Rattus norvegicus: one gene and its partners. The protein of the gene in region 2 interacts with the protein of the main gene of each other region in a pairwise test. Links are inferred from orthologs where the notes say so. Each region holds a gene or a part of one and is shown on either strand. Other genes may lie near its edges. The genes, in order: Bag3, Dazap2 and Batf2.

Region 1 (3,651 bases), on a different chromosome or scaffold from region 2:
AGGAGATCAGAAATTTGAGGTCAGCCTGGGCTACATGTGAGACCCTGTCACAAACAGCCTCCCCATGGTTCTACAGGGTGCTTGTGGCCTGTTTTGTTTTATGGAAAAGGAAATGAAGGTTTATAGGGGTAAGGGATTATCCATGCCCACTGTTAATTAATGGTAGTAGAAATAAGCTTGGGTCCTCTGGGTTAGCCTCCCCTGAGGGACAGTCCCCCATATTCCTTGTACCTCAGCCACCCCCGCTTTTCAGGTGTTTCCTGTTTGTCCCAGGCATTGACTTGTCTAGTTTTTGAACAGGGTCTCATGAAGTCCAGGCTGACCTCAAACTCAGTATGTAGCTGGAGATAACCTTGAACTTGTGATCCTCCGGCTGCTACGTACTAAGTGCTGGGATGTACATGTGCACCACTGTGTCTGGTTTCATACGATAGTTGGAGTTGGACCCAGGATGTCCTTGCATGCTAGGTGCGCAGTCTACCAAGTGAGCTACGTCCCCACCCCTTACCTTGTCTTATAAACTCCTTATTTGCAAGGCTCATATCTTGTTGGTTTGATGACCCCTGGGCCTGTCTGAGTAGTAGCTTGATGTTCGCCGGGAACTGTAGGTGAGGCTAGCTCAGACCTACTAAGTGCCCAGCTCTGAAGAGTAGGTAGTGGCTGAGGCTTTGTTCATAGCCAGAACAAACAGCAAACTCCAGGCAGTTCCCCCAAAACATATGACAGCACTGTGCAAAATCTGATTTCAACTGGAAAGAAGGGCCCTGTCCCCAAGTGTAGGCACATTGCGTAGAACATATGTTATGACAGGATTCTTTGTTGTCTCCTGCCATTTCCCTATGGTGCACGTCTCATGGCTAGAACTGGGTTTCTTTTCTCTGTGTGAGGCCTGGATCCACTCCCAGCTCTTGGGTGACCTGAGAGTTGAGCAAGCTAAAATAATGCTGATGTCCTGAGCACGTGGACATTCTAATCTGAGAGTACCAAGTGCCTGTCTGCCCCTCTCCCCAAGGACACAGTGACACCCTTGCCTTTCCTGTGTTTTGGAGGCCCTCCAGGGGTGAGGTCTCAGCAGGAGGTAGGCAGCACATAAGCCTGAAAGGGTTGCATTGCAGGGCCAGCCACCTGGTGTCCAGACCTATACATAAATATAAAACATGGCAGAATTAATGATTATTTTCACTCAAAATGCAAACCAACTCTCAGGGTCTGTCCTTAACCTTTGCCCAGTTCAGCAGCTGGAGAAATTAACACTCTGGACTCACAGATTCCCAGCTTTTGACATTTGTTTGCCATTTGGAGAGCTACCTCACTAAAGAAGGCTTACTCTCCTAAACACCAGCCTAGTCAGATATCCCCTCGTCTGTGAGAGGACTCCTGTTCAGGAGACAGTTGGAGGCTGAGTGCACAGCCTCTGGTTGGAGAGATATGTCATTGCCCAGTGAATGGCTGACTGGCCTCGGTGTCTGAAATAAGATCTGCCCAGAGGTACATCTGGAACTTGGCCTTCTCAAGGGTCCCAAAATAGCCAGGCCTCTAAAGGAACAACTTCATGAGAGGACACAAGAAGGACCCCCCAACTGTTCTTGGCCTAAACAGGGTTTATTGTATTGAAGGGGGAGAGGCTCTGTGACTCTTCCTTCGAGTCAAGGAAAAGTTTACTGGAACCACTGAGACAGAATACTGCTGCTAGTGTAAGGAGAGGAGCTCAGCTCCCTGTTGAGCACAGACAAAGCACAGTGTGGGACGTGTGGATAGTATTTAAAGGGAAAAACTGATCAAAGGCAAAAGGGGTTCTAACCAAGCTAACCTAACGGGATTCTGACAAGCCAAGGGCGGTGGACAGACATCTGGGGAGGATGGGAGGTGGATAGAGCTGGGGTGTCCATGATGGTGGGCTTGGAATAAGGGGTTCTGGTTGACTTGATTTAGCTGCTCTTTTGCAATAGCTGGATTTTACAAGGAAACACACAGATGGGCCTAGGAGAAAGCCCAGTAGCCTTGCTGTAAAGTTTAGCCAGGCGGAGACTCTTAGGAGTTGGCCGTCTAAGACTGGCACGCGTAATCCCTGGGCTTTGTTCTCTTCTTACACCACTTCTGCATTCCAGGGTATCTCCCTTTCTTGCAGCTTGTTCTAAAAATAATTCCAAGGAGCTAGCCTCTGAAACACACACACACACACACACACACACACACACACACACACACACACACAGAGAGAGAGAGAGAGAGAGAGAGAGAGAGAGAGAGAGAAGAGAGAGAGCACAACACAGAGAACAGAGCACCCAGAAAGCACATACAACACACAAAACAGGGCACAGACAACACACACAGCACACACATAGCACATAAATGACACACACACACAAAGCACATACAACACACAAAACAGGGCACAGACAACACACACAGCACACACATAGCACATAAATGACACACACACACAAAGCACATACAACACACAAAACAGGGCACAGACAACACACACAGAGCATACACAACACAGAACAGAGCACTCAAACACACACAACACAGCACAGACAGCTACAGCGTGCGTGCGCACACATGCTCGCGCCGCACTCACACACACACACACACACACACACACACACACACACACACACACACACAGAGCACATAGAACACACAGAACGGAGCACAGACAACACACACACAGCACACAAACACACATGCTTTTCCAGAAGGAAGTTTGCTGCTGACGTTTAGTAACTGGAGTTGAGTCTTCCAGGGATCACTGGCTTCAGTCTCTGAAGATGTGCAGGGGCCATTGGCCACTGTCTGCTGTCTACACTGCCGTCAACCAGAAAAAAGAAACACCTGTCTCACCACTGTGGGAAGCAAACCTCTCTTGTACTTCAAACTGATACTTTGACTTCTTGGTGTGCCCGGCGACAGGTTTTATTATATAACCCTGACCAGCCAGCCTGGAACTCACTTTGTAGACCAGAACGGCCTCAGAGTCACAGAAACCCACCCGCTTCTACTTCTCAGTCCTGGGATTAAAGGCATGACCACCATTCCCTGTCCCCCTAAATCTTAAAGTGTCGCTCACACAGTAGACTGGAAATCTGGAGAAAGCAGAGACAGTGAAGAGTTCTGGTCCCCTGTGCTCAGCTAGCTTGGTTGAACTGTGAGGCCCAAGTCATTCAGGAAGATCAGAGCCCCTCAGCACCACCCTCCTTCTCAGCCCTGTTTTTAACCAGTCTTTGTTTCTCCTTCCTTCACGTTAGGAAACTGCATCATCTGCCAACGGCCCTTCCCGTGATGGCTCCAGGCTGCTGCCCGCTAGGGAAGGCCACCCCATATACCCCCAGCTCCGACCAGGTTACATTCCCATTCCCGTCCACCATGAAGGCTCGGAAAACCGGCAGCCGCACCTTTTCCATGCCTACTCCCAGCCTGGGGTGCAGCGATTTCGAACCGAGGCAGCAGCCGCCGCCCCGCAGAGGTCCCAGTCTCCTTTGCGTGGGGGCGTGACAGAAACCACTCAGACAGATAAACAGTGTGGACAGGTGCCGGCAGCTGCAACAGCCCAGCCCCCGACTGCCCACGGACCTGAGGTAAGAGACCCAGTTCATGCTGGGCCAGAAACCGACCTGGTAGTACACGGGGTTCACGGCCTGCAGCCTC
Region 2 (3,751 bases):
ACTGCATTTACAGGACGCCTTGCAAACTGTGATAGTCACCTGACACACAAGCAAGGCCTTCTTGGTGTTGGACGAATCCAGAATCCGTTCACCGAGGGCCTCTCGCTCCAGAGCCTCTCCGTCTCCTTGAGCGCGCACAACACAACTTCTGCAGACAGCTGCGTCGGTTCCTCACTCTGTGCGTGCCCATGAGGAAACGGGAAAAGTGTAATCACGGTCCTAAGAGACGTCGCCTCTACCCTTCAGGACAACTGGGAGTGGGCTAAGGCACACACAACGTCTGTAGGAGACTACAGGCCCCCTTAGGACGTGCCAGGCCAGGGTCAGCCTGCGCGGGGCACGGTCCATCTCAGGGCAGGAGCTTGATGCGGTGTCATGGTTTGTATCAGGGCGCCAAGCAGGGCGCGGGGACACGGTCTACCTCCGCACGGATCCGGGCGCGGGGGCAAGGTCACCGACCCCGGGCGCTGGACCGTCAATAGGAGGCCTGGAAGAACCGGAACGCGGGACAGGCTAGGATCTGAGGTCCAGAGGTGGCTCAGAGCAAGGGCGCCGCCCTAAGACAAGCCCTCTACGAACTTCAGGGCCCGGTGTGAGGGGTGGGCGGGGCACTGGTGAAGGCGGGGCATGCGGGGAGGAAGGGCTCGCGGTGAGGAGGAGGTGCGCGGTGAGGGCGGGGCCACGCAGGGAGGGCAAGGAGGGCGGGGCTACACGATGAGGGCGGGGAGCGCGGTCAGGGCGGGGCCACGCAGGTATGAGGGGCACGGGGTGAGGTGGGGCCGCGCAGGGAGAGCGGGGACCCCGGGGAGCGTGGGGAGGGCGGAGTCACGCAGGAATGAGGAGCTTGGGGTGAGGGCGGGACCACTCAGGGAGGGCGGAGTCACGCAGGGAGGGCGGGGCATGCGGTGAGGGAGGGGAGCGCGGTTTGGGCGGGGCCGCGCGGGAGAGCGGTGTGGGCGAGGAGGGCGGGGCCACGCAGAGGATAGCGGGCACCGGGTGAGGCGAGGCCGCGCAGGAAGAGCGGGGAACCCGGGGAGCGCGAGGAGGGCGGAGCCACGCAGGAAGGGCAGGGCATGAGTTGAGCCTAAAGCGCGAGGTGAGGGGGAAACCGCGCAGGGAGGGCGGGGCCGCGCGGGAAGGAGCTGCGCGAGGTGAGAGCAGAGCGCGCAGGGAGGGCGGGGCACCCGAGAAAGGCGGGGCTGTAAGCGCCCTCCTTGCAGCGACTGGCGGGCCTGCGAGGGGGCGGGGTTTCCGGCGGCAGTGCACTCGGGCATCGACTGACGCAGAGTGGACGGGCGTCACGTGACACGGAAGTGACTCCGAACAGGAAGAGGACGAGAAAAATAACCGTCCGCGACGCCGAGTGGAAGTGGATTAGAGCCACCATGAACAGCAAAGGCAAGGCCGGGAAGCGGCGGAGGTCGTCGGGGACGCGGGCGGGTTCGGGTCGAGTGGGCCCGGGGGCGGCGGGCTCGGGGCGGTCAGGGCCGCTCTCCTCAGCAGGCCGCGGAGCGGGGCCGCACCTGACGTGTCCGCCCCCCCTCCCCCACACACCGCAGCAACTCGGCTCTCCGGGCCCCGGCCCCATAAACTCTGTGGCGCAGTTTGGAGCCGCGGGCTCCAGTGTGTGAGGTGGGGGTGTTTTTCCGTGACTGACACCGGCTGGAGCGAATGGGGAGCTAGAGCAGGGATTTGGGTAGGCCAATGGAGGACCGGCAGAGGCGGGGCGCCGCGCTTCGGAACAACAGGCCTTGGCCGAGCTTAACTCGTGAGGTGCCGGCTCTGCTGCCCAGTCCCGGCCTTCAAGGATCCTTTCCCGCCTGCCTTCGACTTTTCGCGCTCCCTCCTCAGGGCCAGGATTTATAGTCGTGCCTGTGCTAATGTTTGTCAGACCATGGTCGCGTTTACCTCCCGCCCCCAGCCGCCGCCCTTCTCATGGTTAACTTCCATTCACTCACTCTTTGGAAGTCGACCTTGAGTAGGAACCAACCCGTGAGGTAACACGCAGAACCGTGGGTTCCACAGAGTCTGCACTGGTTACCGCACAGTCCGTGGGAGACTACCCGGACTAGAAGTCCCCCCAAAACACCAGCAATCCAGAATCCCCGGCACGGGTTCTCAGACCTGTCCTTTATTTGGGAGGGAACGGGGCCAAGTTACACTTGATTCCTCCATCAGTATGCTAGTGGGAACAGCGCCTTCTGCCCAGTCAGAACCCAGCACCTTCCACTGTGAGGGTGCAGAGACAATCTTTTATTTTCTTGGCTCTAAGAGCTAAGGCCCTGTGGGGCAATCTGTTTGCAATTCTTCTGCTTGAGCTCACCAAGTTAACTGCCCGTTTTACAAATTTTTTTTATTGTCTGTGAATGTGAGGGTAGGTGCCCACAAAGACAGAAGCTAGAGTTGAAAAGAGGTTGTGTCAGATGTGGATGCTGGGAACAGAACTTGGGTCCTCAGGAAGAGTGGCATTTTGTCAGGAGCATCTTTCCTATTTGCCACCTCCCTAATTTGATAGACAACATCTCTCTTCCCCTTTTGTATTCCAGGTCAATATCCAACACAGCCTACCTACCCTGTGCAGCCTCCTGGGAATCCAGTATATCCTCAGACCTTACATCTTCCTCAGGCTCCACCCTATACTGATGCTCCACCTGCATACTCAGAGGTACTGCACTTTGCTAGACTTTTAACTATTTGAATACACTCTTGGACCCCTCCCCCATTGTTAAATCTTCAAATTCAGAAGCAGAGAATGCTCTATGAACCGTCTAAAACATAAGTTAATAATTACCATTGGAATTGAACGCATTATCTGCTTGTTATTTGACATGCTGAGTTAGGCTGAGTTTGGGTCCCTTGAGCCCAGTAGTAGCTGTGGATGCAAATGACCCAGAAACTGTGTGCCAGTGACAGTAACCAGTGTGATCCACACACACAAGAACTGAGAATGGACTCATGAGCCATGCGTGGTGGTAAGACCAGTAGTCTCAGCACACGGAAGGCTCAGGCAGGAGGAGCTTGAGGTCAAGACTGTCTTGGGCTATAGAACCAAACCCCATTTCCAAAACAAAACAAGGGGCTGGGGATGTAGTTGATTTGGTAGAGTGCTTGCTTAGCATGCACCAAGCCCTGGATTTGGTCTCCAGCCCAATGTGAGCTGGATTTGGTGGTGCAGGCTTTTATTTCCATCAGTCAAGAGGTCAAGGCAGGAGAGTCAGGAGTTGAAGGTCATCCACTCCTACATTCTTGCAGGCTAGCCTGAAGTACAGGAGATGGTCTCAGCAATACTTAGAGGAATTTCAAATACCAGTGTCACAGAAATATTTTGCCTTCTCTTCTGCTTCTTTTAGCTCTATCGTCCAAGCTTTGTTCATCCAGGGGCTGCCACAGTCCCCACCATGTCAGCTGCATTTCCTGGCGCCTCGTTGTATCTGCCTATGGCCCAGTCTGTGGCTGTTGGGCCTTTAGGCTCCACGATCCCCATGGCTTATTACCCAGTTGGTCCCATCTATCCACCTGGCTCGGCAGTGCTGGTGGAAGGAGGGTACGATGCAGGTGCCAGATTTGGAGCTGGTGCCACCACTGGCAGCATTCCTGTGAGTATGCCTAACCAAGAGCTCAGCCCTCGTGCACTTGAACCGTCTGAAATGACTTCATACTCATTCTCCTACCATCCCAGGGTAGTAGTAGTCAGGACTGGCACAGCTGCTGCCCTCTCATGACAGAAATGTGGCTGGGCCAATCAGGGCAT
Region 3 (3,054 bases), on a different chromosome or scaffold from region 2:
TTCCAGGGCTCAAACACCAATTGGAGGCTTGCAGGGAAGGCAGTTTATCCACTGAGCAATCACCCAGCCTACTCTTTGTTTTTGAAGACCCCATGGTTTTACCAGTTAAGAGTGTATGCGCCTGGGAATTGTCTCAGGGCTAACACCACTTGCTCTTGCAGAGGACCTAGGTTCAATTCTGAGCACCCACCTGGTGGCTCAAACCATTTGTAACTCTATTCCCAGGAGATCTGATGACCTTTTCTGACCAAGTATGCATGCGGTGCGTGCGCGCGCGCGCGCGCGCACGCACGCACACACACACACACACACACACACACACACACACACACAGGCAAAACCATTCATACACATAATTTTGTTGGCTTTTTGTTTTTTGAGACAGAGTCTCTCCATACCACCCTGGCTGGCATGGAGTGATGTGGATGAGGCAGTCCTGGAACTCACAGAGATGCCTCTGCCTCTGTCTCCTGAGTGCTGGGATTGAAGAAGCGCACCACTACGCTCAGTTCGTTCGTTTGTACATATATATATATATATATATATATATACATATTTTTTAAGCCAAGAGTGTAACCAGTCTCCAACAACCTGGCAAAGCAAAGAGGTGGGGAAAACTGTATTTACCATCCTATGTGCCGAGATGTGTGCTCTGATGCAGGAGTGGGTCCACTTCTGACACACCGTCTCACTCAGTTCCATGTGTGAAAACCTGGTGAAGAGCTCAAGGCACTTGGGGCTGCTGTGAATGACCACCCTTTCAGAGATCTTACTTACTCTCCTAGCTGTCATGGCCCCAGTAGTCCCAAGAGACATGAAGGAGCCATTTTGGGAGAGCCCGACGGTAGTGTACAGGTACTGTGCAGAGTTGGGAATGCTGCCAAGGACACAGACCGTGCTCCAGTCAGGTTCAAGGTTCTTGCACTTGGTCCTCCCATCATCCTTTGTGGTGGTGAGGGGCAGGATGGCTTTGTGTGGTCCACAGTGGTAGGCAGGCACTCAGTAGTAACTCAGGAAGAATGGAAATGGAGGAGCTGCTTGGGTGCTCAGGCTACCTCAGGAACCCAGGTAAGGCAGCCCCTCTCTAGACATAGGCTAGAAGTGGACTTTTGCAGAAGAGAGCAGGGGGAAGGCTGTGAGGGCTTGTGGGCTAGGGTCCACAGGTGACTTCTGCCAATGAGTCGGGGAGCCAGACTGTGTAGGCAAATGCTCTCCGTTCTGTGGACGCTCTGGTCCTAGAGCAGCTGGAGAGTCGGAGGATGCCAGCCTCCCACTGGTGGGCTGCTCCAGCCTGAGGCGCTGTGGAGAGACCAGCTGGTCTGGGGGACTGGGTATGAGGGCATCAAACTTAGAGAAAGACCCCAGCCGGCTGGAACCAGATGATAATGCAGACAGGGCAGGGCTGGGGGATAGCTGGGCTAGAGGTGTCCTCACCATGAGAGGGTCCGAGGACAGTGAGGGCAGGGGGAAAGGGAGGAGGCCAGGAGACTCATGATAGCATGGGCCTGGAGAGAGCTGCTGGGCTCGGGGAGAGGAGCCAGGAGTCTGGAACAGTTGTTCCTGGCAGCCATGGTATCCATGAGGGGCAGGTTGTCCTGAGAGTTGCTTGGCCTGGACTGGGCATCCAGAGGGCAGCAGAGCAGGGCATGGACCACAGCCCACTCCGCACAGTCGTTCATGCAGATGCAGTGTCCGGCCCCATCTTGCCAGCTCAGACTGCAAGGCCTGGATCTCCTTCCGAAGGGCGTGGTTTTGTTTCTCCAAGGACTCGTGCTGCTGGAGGAGAAACGGGTGGCAGGGAGGGATGTCAGCATCAGGACCACCCTATCTGGGGTTCTCACTGCTGTAGGATACAAATATCCAGATAGAAGCTCTTGGCTGTGGTACTCTACCCCACATCCCCACTGAGCTGTGACCTTGCCACAAAAGCCCAGTATGGCTCTTCTGGGAAGCACCATTTCTCACCAGGGATCTCAACCTGGCTTCGAATTGCCCTATCCCTAACCCAACACTTCATTGGCCCATTCAGTCACAGTATCCTTGTTTGATGGATTTGGACTGTATCTTTGGTTGGGGAGGGGCCACTATAAACAAATAAGGAGGTAACAGGAAGACACTGGGTATCTTCCTCTCTTGCTCTCTGCCTCATATTCCTTTGAGTCTGGATCTCTCCAGAACCCTGAAGCTGGACGTTTTAGCCAGCAAGCTCCTGGGATGTGCTTATCTCTGCCTCTAATGACACACCCAGCCTTTTTAAGATGGTATTAGAGATCAAAGCTGCAAAGCATGATGGGAGGGCTTGCAAAACCCGAGAGGCTGAGCTTTGATCTTTTGCTGTGTATTGTGATGCTAAATTCTGCCCCTAACTCCCCACCCACCTTGGGTGCCTCCAGGGACAAGACCCAAGTGAGGCTATGTGACCTTGTCCCCCAAGTTATCCCTGATTGGTGAATAAAGATGCTACAGCCTGTAGCTGGACAGAATTGAGACAGGCAGGGTTTGGTGTTCGGGGCTTGGGCTCTGAGGACCACAAGGAGGAGAGAGAGAAGGTGGAGAGAGCAGAAGACACCATGGGGTAAGAAATTCCAAAACATGACCATGATGTCTGGCCAATTGGCATTAATAGCAGCCCAGGTGGAACACAGCAACATGTAACTCTGGTTTATTGCTAGGAAATTAGACGAAATACCCTAGAGGGAAGATATCTGCCCAGCTCTACGCTCCTTAAGGTTTATTATAAATGTAAAGGTTTTGTGTCTTTTATCCAGAAACTGAATGGTCAAACGCAGGGTAGAAACCTCCGGATTGAGATCACTTTCAGTAGCAAGGGTTCTTACCTATCAAAGTAGACCTGGCCTCCCGGTTCTCCCAGGCCTCAGGCCCTACCAGGCACTGCCTGCCCTGAACTTTCCAGCCCAGGGGCTAGGCTGCCCTTCCCCCTAGAGCCTCTTCCCTAAATAATCCAGATATTTGGTCTCCTCCCTCCTTCCTTCTCTCTCCTCTCTGTGAGTACACTTTCTGTTTCTACGGCCCCTCCCCCACCATGGTGACTTC

What was found.
Region 1: the proteins of Dazap2 (region 2) and Bag3 interact in binary tests that used the Homo sapiens proteins (3 or more experiments, as listed by UniProt). The two-hybrid records come from large-scale screens. The link is inferred for Rattus norvegicus from reciprocal best matches to the Homo sapiens genes DAZAP2 and BAG3.
Region 3: the proteins of Dazap2 (region 2) and Batf2 interact in binary tests that used the Homo sapiens proteins (3 or more experiments, as listed by UniProt). The two-hybrid records come from large-scale screens. The link is inferred for Rattus norvegicus from reciprocal best matches to the Homo sapiens genes DAZAP2 and BATF2.

Annotation. Positions count from the first base shown.
Region 1 is NC_086019.1:192,546,930-192,550,580, forward strand, and holds part of Bag3 (BAG family molecular chaperone regulator 3), read left to right. Parts: intron 1-3,251; coding exon 3,252-3,581; intron 3,582-3,651. UniProt on the Homo sapiens protein: Co-chaperone and adapter protein that connects different classes of molecular chaperones including heat shock proteins 70 (HSP70s), e.g. HSPA1A/HSP70 or HSPA8/HSC70, and small heat shock proteins (sHSPs), e.g. HSPB8.
Region 2 is NC_086025.1:133,592,551-133,596,301, forward strand, and holds the start of Dazap2 (DAZ-associated protein 2), read left to right. Parts: upstream 1-986; 5' UTR 987-1,096; intron 1,097-1,151; exon of another isoform or gene 1,152-1,220; 5' UTR 1,221-1,385; coding exon 1,386-1,398; intron 1,399-2,546; coding exon 2,547-2,665; intron 2,666-3,350; coding exon 3,351-3,596; intron 3,597-3,751. UniProt on the Homo sapiens protein: In unstressed cells, promotes SIAH1-mediated polyubiquitination and degradation of the serine/threonine-protein kinase HIPK2, probably by acting as a loading factor that potentiates complex formation between HIPK2 and ubiquitin ligase SIAH1.
Region 3 is NC_086019.1:212,903,199-212,906,252, reverse strand, and holds the end of Batf2 (basic leucine zipper transcriptional factor ATF-like 2), read right to left. Parts: intron 1,777-3,054; coding exon 1,096-1,776; 3' UTR 603-1,095; downstream 1-602.